3 linked regions of the Oryza sativa Japonica Group genome follow. The protein of the gene in region 1 interacts with the protein of each later gene in a pairwise test. Links are inferred from orthologs where the notes say so. Each region holds a gene or a part of one and is shown in the gene's direction. Other genes may lie near its edges. The genes, in order: calcineurin B-like protein 1, CBL-interacting protein kinase 5 and cBL-interacting protein kinase 24.

The links.
Region 2: the proteins of calcineurin B-like protein 1 (region 1) and CBL-interacting protein kinase 5 interact in binary tests that used the Arabidopsis thaliana proteins (3 or more experiments, as listed by UniProt). The link is inferred for Oryza sativa Japonica Group from reciprocal best matches to the Arabidopsis thaliana genes CBL9 and CIPK20.
Region 3: the proteins of calcineurin B-like protein 1 (region 1) and cBL-interacting protein kinase 24 interact in binary tests that used the Arabidopsis thaliana proteins (3 or more experiments, as listed by UniProt). The link is inferred for Oryza sativa Japonica Group from reciprocal best matches to the Arabidopsis thaliana genes CBL9 and SOS2.

The regions. Positions count from the first base shown.
Region 1 is NC_089044.1:22,989,616-22,993,853, forward strand, and holds the start of calcineurin B-like protein 1, read left to right. Parts: upstream 1-1,401; 5' UTR 1,402-1,651; coding exon 1,652-1,730; intron 1,731-1,870; coding exon 1,871-1,953; intron 1,954-4,238. Other genes in the region: serine/threonine-protein kinase SAPK3, read right to left, coding at 1-39. UniProt on the Arabidopsis thaliana protein: Acts as a calcium sensor involved in abscisic acid (ABA) signaling and stress-induced ABA biosynthesis pathways. Contributes to the regulation of early stress-related CBF/DREB transcription factors.
Region 2 is NC_089035.1:5,818,519-5,822,302, reverse strand, and holds CBL-interacting protein kinase 5, read left to right. Parts: upstream 1-1,215; 5' UTR 1,216-1,545; coding exon 1,546-2,931; 3' UTR 2,932-3,172; downstream 3,173-3,784. UniProt on the Arabidopsis thaliana protein: CIPK serine-threonine protein kinases interact with CBL proteins. Binding of a CBL protein to the regulatory NAF domain of CIPK protein lead to the activation of the kinase in a calcium-dependent manner.
Region 3 is NC_089040.1:24,903,816-24,907,916, reverse strand, and holds the start of cBL-interacting protein kinase 24, read left to right. Parts: upstream 1-1,165; 5' UTR 1,166-1,266; coding exon 1,267-1,452; intron 1,453-2,566; coding exon 2,567-2,629; intron 2,630-2,749; coding exon 2,750-2,821; intron 2,822-3,079; coding exon 3,080-3,187; intron 3,188-3,280; coding exon 3,281-3,355; intron 3,356-3,439; coding exon 3,440-3,493; intron 3,494-3,992; coding exon 3,993-4,101. UniProt on the Arabidopsis thaliana protein: Involved in the regulatory pathway for the control of intracellular Na(+) and K(+) homeostasis and salt tolerance.

The DNA.
Region 1 (4,238 bases):
GGCCCCGAGCTCCTTCAACGCCTCGTACCTCTCCTCCATTGGCCCCCTCGAAACCCAAACCCAAAGAGGAGAAGTCGCCGCGGTTCGAGACCGAAGCCGACCACCCAACCAACCCAATCAGAGGCGAGCTAACCTCCAACCAAACCAGACCAAATCCGAAGAAGGGAGGCGGCGAGGTGGAGGGATATGAAATTCTCTTCGTCGCCGTCACCGGAAAGCGACGAGGGTCTCTTGGTCGGACTTGAAGCCGAAGCGAAGCAGCGACGGCGACGGCGAGGTGCGCGACACGTGGCCCCCACGAGTGCCGTCGCTTGTCACGTGGGCCCCACGCGTCAGCTCAGCTAATCGGCGGGCGGGGTAGGAGTGGGGCCCGTGGATTAGGTGGCGTGTCCTGTGAATACGACGTGGCCGTTTCGTCGCTCCGGGTTGCCACGTGGCTCCATGTACGTATTATATGGAGGCCCACGCTCAGAAGAGGGCGGTGTCCAGAAACATGGAGCTGGGCTTTTCTTTTCCAAAGATGCTGGGCCGGTTTTCTAAAGTGCAAACCATGGGCTGCACGATAAATTAATTGATTAATCAGTTTTAGCTAGTAATCGTTAGCAAAGACGTTGGTTAACTTGGTTTTCTTGCTAGTTTCGTAGGGATTTCAAATGGTTATGAGCAGTCGTTCAAAAAAAAAAGATGATTATGAGCCAAGCAAACCATGGGACTACTATCAATTCGAAGCATCCGCTCGAGAATCTTCCATCGAAGATTTGGAACAATGTTGAATTTCTTCGATGTGACATAAACAATCTGCCTGGTCGTGGTTCACTACTGTGGTAGTAGTACTATTAGATTACTCTAATTATTGCGCGTGGCTGAGGTAAACCATGACACATTAGTGCTGGAATTGTTGCATGTGACCGAGAGGTAAGATTAGCGCAAGTTGGCTTGCAATTTCTTTGCGAAATCGTATGATCTGCTAATATTCCGTGTGGCTCTGCCCCTTCTCGCTGATTGGAGTTGCGCTTAGCCGTCGTAATAGTCATTTTCTTTTTCTTGGTTTTTTTTTGTCTTTTCTTCTTTTTCTTGGCATAAGCCAGTCTGTCTGATTGCGTTATGTAAACAAATATTTTTTTTTAATATATTGACTTAATTGTTTTGCGCGTTCGGAAAAAAAAATCTGCGAATATTCCCAGCTGACCAAAATGGGAATGGACGACGACGACGAGGTCCTCCCTTCTTCGCTTCTTCCAATCCATGGGCCGCAAGTCCGCAAGGGCCGCGCGCACGTGGGCGCGGTGCGGGTCTTCTTTCCCAAAAGAAGTCGGGGGAAAGCGAGGCGCAACGGACTCGGGGCCCACCTATCGCGTAGGTAGTAGGACTAGGAGGAGGCATAGCCCGTCTCGTCTCGACACCCCTCCGACCCCGACGCGTCGCGCACCAAACCCCCCCGCCCCCAACCCCGACCTCCTCCCGTGCTCCGCGCTCCGATCCGCCGCCGCCGCCGCGCGCGCGCCGCCGGGGGAGTGCGCCGGCGTGTGGTGGTGGGTGTGTAAGGGTAGGTGGAGGGGTGGGTGATGCGAGATCGGCCGCGGCGGCGGTAGAGGGGGTGTGTGTGCTCGGCTACTCCGGTGGGTCGGGTCTGGGCGGGGTGCGCGTGGGGATGGGGTGCTTCCAGTCGACGGCGAGGCGTCCGCGCCCGGGGTACGAGGACCCCGTCGGCCTCGCCTCCGAGACCGCCTGTGAGTTGTTGTTGCTGTACTTGCCACTTGAGGAGTACTCTACAGTACTGTATTTCATTTCATTTCATCAAGTAGTTCATCTGATTTATGCAATCGATGGGCGTACTGGAAATTCTGAGTTAGTTGTTTTGGATGTGTAGTTAGCGTAAGTGAGGTGGAGGCTTTGTTCGAGCTGTTCAAGAGCATTAGTGGTTCTGTGATCGACGATGGGCTCATCAATAAGGTGAACATCTAACTGTTTCTTGGGGGTATCTCACCATATTGGCATCATGGCATGTGTGATTATGAGCATCCTGATACATTTACTAATCTGCTTTTATAGCTTGTTGTGGAATTACAAAATTAGACCTTGCCGCATTCGAATATATCTACTGTTCCGTCTTTCATCACCATATTGGCATCATGTCATGTGTGATTATGAGCATCCTGATACATTTACTATCTGCTTTTGTAGCTTGTTGTGGAATGACAAAATTAAACCTTGCCACATTTGAATATATCTCCATGTACTGTTCCGTCTTTCGCTGGATATGAGAGGAGGTGCTCTCATATCGGAATTTATTAAGAGGGGAGTGAGGCTCGAACCTGGGTCGGCTAGCCCACAACTTGTGGTGCTAGCCAGAAGACCCCCACGCCTTTCTCACTGTTCCGTCTTTCAGGTTTCAGCTGCACAAATTATGTGGTGGATGCCATTTTCTGTGAATCGTTTTGCTATGCTGGCAGTTCTATTCATTCATCTTTGAAGTGAGCATGAATCTTTGTTGTACACACCCCGATCCTTTATTCCTCTTGTACCGCTCATTGTATTATGTGTTTGCCTTCTAAATTGTTGAATTTTCTGTGTATCAAAATGTGATTTTTTTCCTCAAAGTTTAATAGGAAAAAACTTGTTCCTGATATAAACCATCTGGCTACTATCACAGTATAACAACACAATGATAGTTCAAAGTTTGAGTCACTTTCTTCCTGCCTTGTCAATATTGATTTGCCGTGCTATAAAGCTAGACATAATGCGTTTCTCTTGCATCTTCACTTTTGTTTTTTGCATCTTCTTGTTGCGTCTTGCGTGGCGAAGAAGTTCATTAACTGCTATCTGAGAAGCCATACAGGTTCATGCACATCTGCTAGTTCTCATGAACTATAATCTTGACGTCATCAGTAGCTAAATTCACGGTATGAAATTAGGGACTACCTATCTAACGTTCGACATAAAATCCCCCCAAAAATATGCCGTAACTACAACACAATAATAGTGTAATTGCTGTTAGAATTTCAATGGTTACTCTCATTGAGAAGAGGATGGCACTCGAGATGGGGCAATTTTCTGGTTTTCTTCATTCACTAAACACAAAAGCCATATCCTCCCAAAGAGGATTGGATACATATTTATAGCTGCTTGTAGCAGCCATGCAGCCATGCTAGTCTAAGAGGGTGCTGTCAGCATCCCAACAAACTGTCCTAGAGCAGAGCATCCCAACAAACTGTCCTAGAGCATCTCAACAAACTGCTGTCCTAACTGTCCTAGAGCATCCAAACTGAAAGTAGAGATGCTGTCCTAGAAAGCTGAAAAACAGGAAAAAAGGCACCACAAGACCAAGACCAACCAGCCAAGACTTATTCCTACATTCTCCCCCTAAGTCTTGTGCGCCGTCTTGTGGGAGAGTTGAGCCATCCCGATCCGGGAGCAAAGCTCAAGGAACTTGATCCTCCCAAGGGGTTTGGTGAGCAAATCCGCAAGCTGGTCCTTGGTGTTGATGTAGCTCGCCTTGATGCTCCCTTCCTCCAAGTAGCTTCGGATGAAATGGTACCTCACTCGGATGTGCTTGCTCCGTTCGTGAAAAACGGGGTTTTTTGCCAGGGCCAGAGCGGACTTGCTATCCACCCTGAGCTCCACCGCTCCAGTATCTCTGCCGAGGAGATCACTAAGCAGTCGAGCAAGCCAGAGCGCCTGGGTCGAAGCGGCGGATGCCGCCATGTACTCGGCCTCGCAGCTGGACAGGGCCACCACCTGCTGCTTGATTGACTGCCAGCTAACGAGGCACTCGCCGAGGAAGAAGAGAATCCCGCTCGTGCTCTTGCTGGTGTCGATGTCGCCGGCGTGGTCGCTGTCGCTGTACCCGACGAAGTGTGCCTTGCCAGGACACCTCGGGTAGTAGAGACCGTGGTCGAGAGTCCCCGCAACGTAGCGGATGATCCTCTTCACAGCCTGCTGGTGCTCCGTCGTCGGTCGCTGCATGAACCGACTGACGTAGCCGACGGAGAAGGCCAAGTCCGGCCGTGTGTGGGTGAGGTAGCGAAGGCTCCCCACAAGACGTCGGTACTGTGTAGCATCCACCTCCTCCGCTGTGCTGTCGCGGCTCAGCTTCAGTCTCTCCTCCATCGGAGTGAGAGCTGGGTTGCAATCGGTGAGCCCAGCCAGCTCAACGACGCGCTTGGCGTAGGCGGTCTGTCGAAGCGTGATCCCGGAGTTGTCCTGGTGCACTTCGATCCCCAGGTAGAAGGAGAGAG
Region 2 (3,784 bases), on another chromosome or scaffold:
AAAAGTCACATGCAGATGAGTATCTGGCTCCCTGTAAATTAGTCATGCAAATAGCCTGTGCTCTTGATATAAGTGGATTTAGCATTGCTTGAACTGTGGCCTTTGGCAAGCCAGCAAGCTGTGACATATTCTATGGCTAAAACTTGTTAATTATTTACTTAATTCATCTACCTATTTCTGAAGGTAATGAAGGGTCTCATGTACACGATAATCGTGTTCAGAGAACGCCAGAATGGGACGGATTGGAAGCTAGCTAAATATCTGAAGGTGACTAGTAGAAAGCTGCATTTTCTGAATTCATCTGTGCCAATTTACAGCCAACCAAATGTCCCATTTTCGCTCACCGCGTGTATCCTGCGAGAACCTTGACGTTTGTGGCAAACTGGCAACCTAACCGTGAGGCCTGCCTTGGCTCGTACACCCTGACGAGTTCTTCTCACAAAAAATGAAAAAAAAAGTTTCGAATTCAGCACAGTGCATGATTGGTTTCAAATATGTACTCCCCCGTCCACGTTACAAGATGTCTTGGCATCTCTATCTTTCGTGTTAGATTCATTAACATCTATATGAATTTAGATACATATGTAAAGTATATACGTAGATCCATATATAAATCTATTCAAAATCCAAAACATATTATAATATGAAACAAATGAAATATAAATCTATTCAAAATCCAAAATATATTATAATATGAAACAGATAAAGTAACTTTGATAGACACAATATAATACAAATACACTGACAAAACTGAGTGAGCAAGGTTTGGTATTAGTCATGTGCACATAACACTAGAGTTAGGTTAAGGTCTTTAATGACAGCCAAACTCTGCAGAACTTTTTTTTTTGTTTCAAGAGGATGAAGAAACATATCTTGACACATGCAGCTCTTAAAAGAAAATCTAAAAGTAACATGCAGGGTGATGCCATGTTATTAGGTTTGCCACATGCAGCTGAATGATACGGTGCCTGCAGCTGCACCCAGAACACGCTATCAATTGCCACAAGTAGATCGTAGAGATAACGCCTCATCCATTTCATATCTGAAAGAAACCAATGATAGATGCAATTCAATCACCGTTCACATAATTCATTTTGCAGATCCCCATCATGAAAGACACATGTATTAACTACATAGAGGATGTAAAGGTGTAACATGGATGAATTTAGAGCGCACCACTGATCCTACAAATAGCATGCAAAACTACAGCCGCTCAACACAAACACCTGGCCTATTTTTAGGCATCCTCTTCCATCTCCAGAGAAGTGAGCCCCAGCCTCATGTCACAAGGGAAGCACTAGCCACCATAGAACTCTCTCTCTTTTTCTCCTTCCTCCTAGGAGGATCCCAAATACACCAATCGTGTCTTGGATTTTCCCAAACACAGCGCGCACTCTCGCCCTTCACCTCTCCTCCCTCTCACCCTTCCATTACATGGATCAGGGAGGGAGGAAGGAGGCCTGAAGTGGCGCAGAGTAGGCGCTTGTAAACAAATCCCCCCATTTGCTTCTTTTGCACTGAAGAATCCCTGAAGAATCCAGCAGGATGGAGAAGAAGGCGTCCATCCTCATGAACCGGTATGAGCTCGGCCGCATGCTCGGGCAAGGCACCTTCGCCAAGGTGTACCATGCACGGAACCTTGCATCCAACCAGAGCGTCGCCATCAAGGTCATTGACAAGGAAAAGGTATTGCGTGTCGGCATGATTGACCAGATCAAGCGAGAGATCTCCATCATGCGCCTCGTTCGCCACCCCAACATCGTCCAGCTGCACGAGGTCATGGCCAGCAAGAGCAAGATATACTTTGCAATGGAGTATGTCCGGGGTGGTGAGCTCTTCAGCAGGGTAGCCAGGGGGCGACTCAAGGAGGATGCTGCGAGGAAGTACTTCCAGCAGTTGATAGGGGCTGTGGACTTCTGTCACAGCCGCGGTGTCTACCACCGAGACCTCAAGCCAGAGAACCTCCTCGTCGACGAGAATGGCAACCTCAAAGTGTCGGACTTTGGGCTGAGCGCCTTCAAGGAGTGTCAGAAGCAGGACGGGCTGCTCCACACGACGTGTGGCACACCTGCATATGTTGCACCAGAGATAATCAATAAGAGGGGCTATGATGGAGCAAAAGCAGACATATGGTCTTGCGGTGTCATACTCTTTGTTCTGCTTGCTGGCTACCTCCCATTCCATGACTCAAATCTAATGGAGATGTACCGGAAGATAAGCAAAGGTGATGTCAAGTTCCCACAGTGGTTCACTACTGATGTCCGAAGGCTTCTGTCCAGGCTGCTTGATCCAAATCCAAACATTAGGATCACCGTTGAGAAGCTAGTTGAGCATCCATGGTTCAAGAAGGGGTACAAACCAGCAGTGATGCTATCACAGCCAAATGAATCAAACAACCTCAAGGATGTCCATACTGCTTTCAGTGCTGATCACAAGGACAATGAAGGCAAGGCAAAAGAACCAGCAAGCTCTTTGAAGCCAGTGAGCTTGAATGCATTTGACATCATCTCCCTCTCCAAAGGATTTGATCTGTCAGGCCTGTTTGAGAACGACAAAGAGCAGAAGGCAGACTCACGGTTCATGACACAAAAACCAGCATCAGCAATAGTGTCAAAGCTAGAGCAGATTGCTGAGACAGAGAGCTTCAAGGTGAAGAAGCAGGATGGACTGGTGAAGCTCCAGGGATCCAAAGAAGGGAGGAAAGGGCAGCTCGCGATCGATGCAGAGATCTTTGAAGTGACACCATCCTTCTTTGTTGTTGAGGTGAAGAAGTCTGCAGGGGACACGTTGGAGTACGAAAAATTCTGCAACAAGGGCCTAAGACCTTCTCTCAGGGACATCTGCTGGGATGGTCAGTCAGAGCATCCATCACTGGCACAGTCATCAACTCTGACTCAGTCCTCTAAGTCAATCTCGAGACATGCCATTTAAGTGCAACCTCATAAGAGATGCAGTAACAATCCATTTTCCTCTCTCCTTTTCCCTTTCATCAAAGTGCTGAGCCTGAGAGTATTCTCACTTGAGCATCAGGCTTAGGGCTCTTTGATGATAATTTTTGCCAGTTTTCCTTGTATAGTAGCAGTTTGTCTACATGGATCTCCTGTTCTTTCACCAATAGAAACAGGGAGATTGACAACAGCATTCTTTTAGTTTTTATTTGTTGCTTTGGGACAAACATACCATCACCTGCAGAAAACAGCATTTAGGAAATTGAAACTTAATAGGGTAAAGAAATCCATTAATGACAGTAAAGAAATCTGTTAATGACAAGAATGAAATGGTAACTGACATGGGAAAATTGTCAGAGAGGACAAAATGAAGGATAAGTAAGACCCACCAAAGCATTCCAGGATGTCATCTTGTGAGTTGAGCACTTCCTAGTCGTTTTGATGTTCAAAATGGAATACTGACATATGAAAGAAAGAAAGAAAAAATATTGATGTGTAGAAAAGAATATTCCGAGGATGCTGGACTAATTATCTGGCTTTAACAATTACATGTTACTTCAGAATTCAGTAGAACCAAGATTAAACAAGAAAAGGATATAAAATGGTGCAATTTACCAAGTTGTTCACCTAAAATAAACAAAACCACTTAAGCTGACAAGATTATTTCCATTATCCTCTGAAATTCACCATAACTGCTGAAAGAATATACTAAAGCAAGGATCTGAAAGTTTCTTCCATCATGTGATTGATGCATAGTTAGATAAATTATGGAACCCTTACATATCAAGAACTCCCAGTTGCCTGAAAATTCAAGCCCTGTCATCATGGAATATGGT
Region 3 (4,101 bases), on another chromosome or scaffold:
AAATTTTAAAAGTATACTGTAAAATTTATTATAAACCATGAGTAAATTTTATAAAACTACAAACCTACATATTTAATAACAAATTTCGCAAAACAATAGAATTAAAATAAAGTATAACAAAATTCCCTTGTGGTGAAACCAGTCTATCCGGGTTTAAGTTTTAGACTTAACATGGGTGCTCGTATTTACAGCTAATTATTTTTTTAGTGGTAAGTGATGTACTCATCGACAGCAAGATGTCTATGGACTTCATCAATCTCAAGATATACTGGTCCAGTCCTCCGAAGATGCTTATAGAGGTAGGGTATGTGTGTATGTGTTTATAGACGTGAGTGTGTGTGCGTTATGGGCACCTGGATTTATACTACGCTTCTCAAAAAAATAAATTATAACAAAATTGCAGATTTAGTAACAAAATTATTATAAAACTACAACATTTTATAATTTGGAGATAAAATTAGTGCTAAGAGTTTCAACTTTGAAATCTGTAGTTTTGTAATAGCACATAATTCTATGATACTCCGCATTAAATGTTTTGTGAAAAAAATAATCTTAATTTTATGATATGACGTTTTATTCTGTACTATCTCCGTCCCATAATAATTGTATTTCTAAGATTTACATGTGTCACAAAATAATTATCATAATAGAGTACTAATTGTCTCATAATCACTTCTCATTTAAATTTATTTCTATTTTACCCTTAATTGTCCTTCTATTCTTACCTATACACCATTTAATGAGGGGTATCGTAATCTCAAATCTTAATATATGCTAATCAAAACCATATATCGAAACCATTTATTATGTTAAATGTCGATTACTCCCTCTGGTTCTATAATAATTGATGTTTTAGATAAGATTGAAGTCAAACTTTTATAACTTTGACTATCCATAACTTTAAAAGTATTTAGTTTAAAAAACAAGAACAACATATATAAAAGTATTTAGTTTAAAAGAACAAGAATAACATATATAGATTTGTCTTTCAAAACACTAAACATTCATTTATTTATTACATATATTATAATAGAAAAATAAGGTCAAATATATGTTTTTTAGATCGTGTGATTATCAAAATATTAATTAAAATAAAATCGGAGGGAGTATTATAGAACGGAGGGGGTGGAAGCCCATAAATAGGCAAGCAGTCAACCAGATGGTCGGTATTCAGGCAGCGAAGCCCCCCCAAAGCCGAGCTCGCGCGCGGCGGCGTCGTCGTCTTCCTCCTCTTCCCCCCGAGTTGGATTCGTGGCCGCGCGGCGGATGGGAGGGGAGGAGGGAATGGCGGCGGGGAGGAAGAAGCGGGTGGGGAGGTACGAGGTTGGGCGGACCATCGGGCAGGGGACGTTCGCCAAGGTCAAGTTCGCCGTGGACGCCGACACCGGCGCCGCCGTCGCCATGAAGGTGCTCGACAAGGACACCATCCTCAACCACCGCATGCTCCACCAGGTAATTCCCCCGCTTCTCCTTTCCCGCTACCCTCCACATCCGCCCCCGCCAGTGCACGAGTCCAAATCAAACTCCTCGCACTCCCCCCTTTGCTTTGATCCGGGCGATTCTTTTTACACTTTTTTTTATTTGGGTGCTCTCCGCTGCTGCTTTGCTGTTTGCCAAATGGTGAGCAGCCGCGCATCGACGAGGGCGGATGGAGAATTTCCGAATATACCTCGACAGCAATGCGCACCACTGGTTAATTCGTGCGAGTTGCGCGCAGCTCTTGCCGTTTGATGATTAAGAATAAGGAATTAACTGGAGAGCCTTAAATTTCTTGTTCTCCCAAAGGGGAAAATACCTTTTTTTTAAAAAAAAAAAAGAAAAGAAAGAAAAACTTAATTCGAGCGGTTTGTTTGGTGTTTCATCTCGTTTGGGCTGACAGAAGCTCAGTTGCAGAATTGAAATGGTTGGGTGTTGAAAGTGATTTTACCAAAATTTGGTCTGTTGTAGCTTAATTCGATTTGCGGTGTTTGCAGAAATGCTACAAATAGTTGGTTCATATGGTTATCCAACGACATCTTTTGAGGATGCATCTTGTTGCAAAGTGCTCAAGTTCTCTAATTATAGTGGTGTAAATCTTTTCCTAAGCTTCCTGATTTGCTAGTTGCTATGGAACTTGGTTTCTCTCCAATTGTGTTTGCAATTGCAAGTATATATTTGGTTTGTTTAATATAACTGTTCTATAATCCTAAGCCTACTGCTATGCCATGAAGCTTGGTTTCTCTCCAATTGTGTTTGCAATTGCAAGTATATATTTGGTTTGTTTAATATAACTGTTCTACAATCCTAAGCCTACTGCTTTGCCATGAAGCTTAGTTTCTCCCCAATTGTGTTTGCAATTTCATGTGTATAAATTTGGTTTGTTTAGTTTAACTGTTCTGCAAATCAATGATGACCACCAGTTTTACCTGATTTTGCTGTGAGCACCCATTTCAGATTTCCAGTTTATGCGAGATGTACTTTCTTTGTGTTGTTTATGCAATATCGCTAATCATGATAACAAAAAAAAGGACTAAACCATTCTAATTCGGCATTAGATTACGAACTCACTTCTCATGTTACTTGACAGATCAAAAGGGAGATATCAATAATGAAGATTGTAAGACACCCCAATATAGTTAGACTAAACGAGGTATGCTAAATATTTACTTGCCATCTGTCCTATATAACTTTTCATTATTAACAAAACTCCTATGTTGGCTATCTTAACTTCCTGTGTCACTACTTTGTTACCATTACTATGATTTTGTAGGTTCTAGCTGGAAAGACGAAGATATACATAATCTTGGAGCTTATCACTGGAGGCGAATTGTTCGATAAAATAGTAAGGAGTCTATTATATACACTACCGAAATAACGATGAGCTGCTGTTCTACTTGAACTAAAAAAATATAAGAATTGTGCCAATCTGGCAGTGTCTCCATATGTAAATTCTTTTTATCACCCATATATACCAGAAACTTTCTGTTCAGTAAATTATAGGCCCATTATATAATCCCAATAGGCAATATAAAGAAAGGAACATTTTTTTATTATTGTGCATTTTCTTAAAATATGAACCTATGCGATCAAATATCTGTAGGCTCGCCAAGGGAAGCTTCGTGAAAATGAAGCAAGGAAGTACTTCCAGCAGCTTATTGATGCCATCAATTATTGCCATAGCAAAGGAGTATATCATAGAGATTTGAAGGTCCGTTACTGATAAGAGACACTTGGCTATCATTTGTCCTATTCACTAGGTGCAATATCTCATGCTTACCCTTTTTTTGGGCATGTTATGTAGCCTGAAAACCTGCTTCTTGACTCACGTGGAAACTTGAAAGTTTCTGATTTTGGACTTAGCACTTTGGCCCAGAAAGTAAGCTCAGTAATTGCTTTTAATGATGCTGTATTTCTATCCTAGAAGTGTTCTGATTGGGATTTCTTTTTTGAGGGATTTCAGGGAGTAGGCCTTCTTCACACAACTTGTGGAACACCAAATTATGTTGCTCCTGAGGTATGATGCTCTCTCTCTCTCTATCTCTCAATGCATGGTAAATTGAACTGTACGAAATGTTTTTTTTTTGGCAAGGAGCTAATTGATTAGCTACACTACATGCAAGAAATATGTCTGCAAAATTAGACGAGTTACTCGGGATGCAATTCAATTTTCCTAGATTTTCTTTATAGATCATATTTGTATGTATGATACAAATGTCTGTTAGACTAGAAAGAGATTACCTATTTCTTTGTTTCTCTACCTGTCTCGCAGTTATTTGGTTGGTTAGTTCTCTTCAGGGTTCTAAACCTCATTTTTATGCATATTTCTGCCATCATCACTAAATAAATATCTCTAGCTGTCTTATTTCACCATGTTCAAGCTATTGTGATTTTAATTGTCTGAACTAGTTCATAAAATTGTGATATGGGCATTTCAAGCCATTTCCTTAGACAAGATTAGGGGCATTTTTTTAGTACATATATGATATGCGCTTTACCATGTGTCAATGTTTTAGGTGCTTAGCAACAATGGTTATGATGGATCTGCAGCAGATGTTTGGTCATGTGGTGTTATTCTCTATGTTTTGATGGCTGGATACCTTCCTTTTGAGGAAGATGATCTTC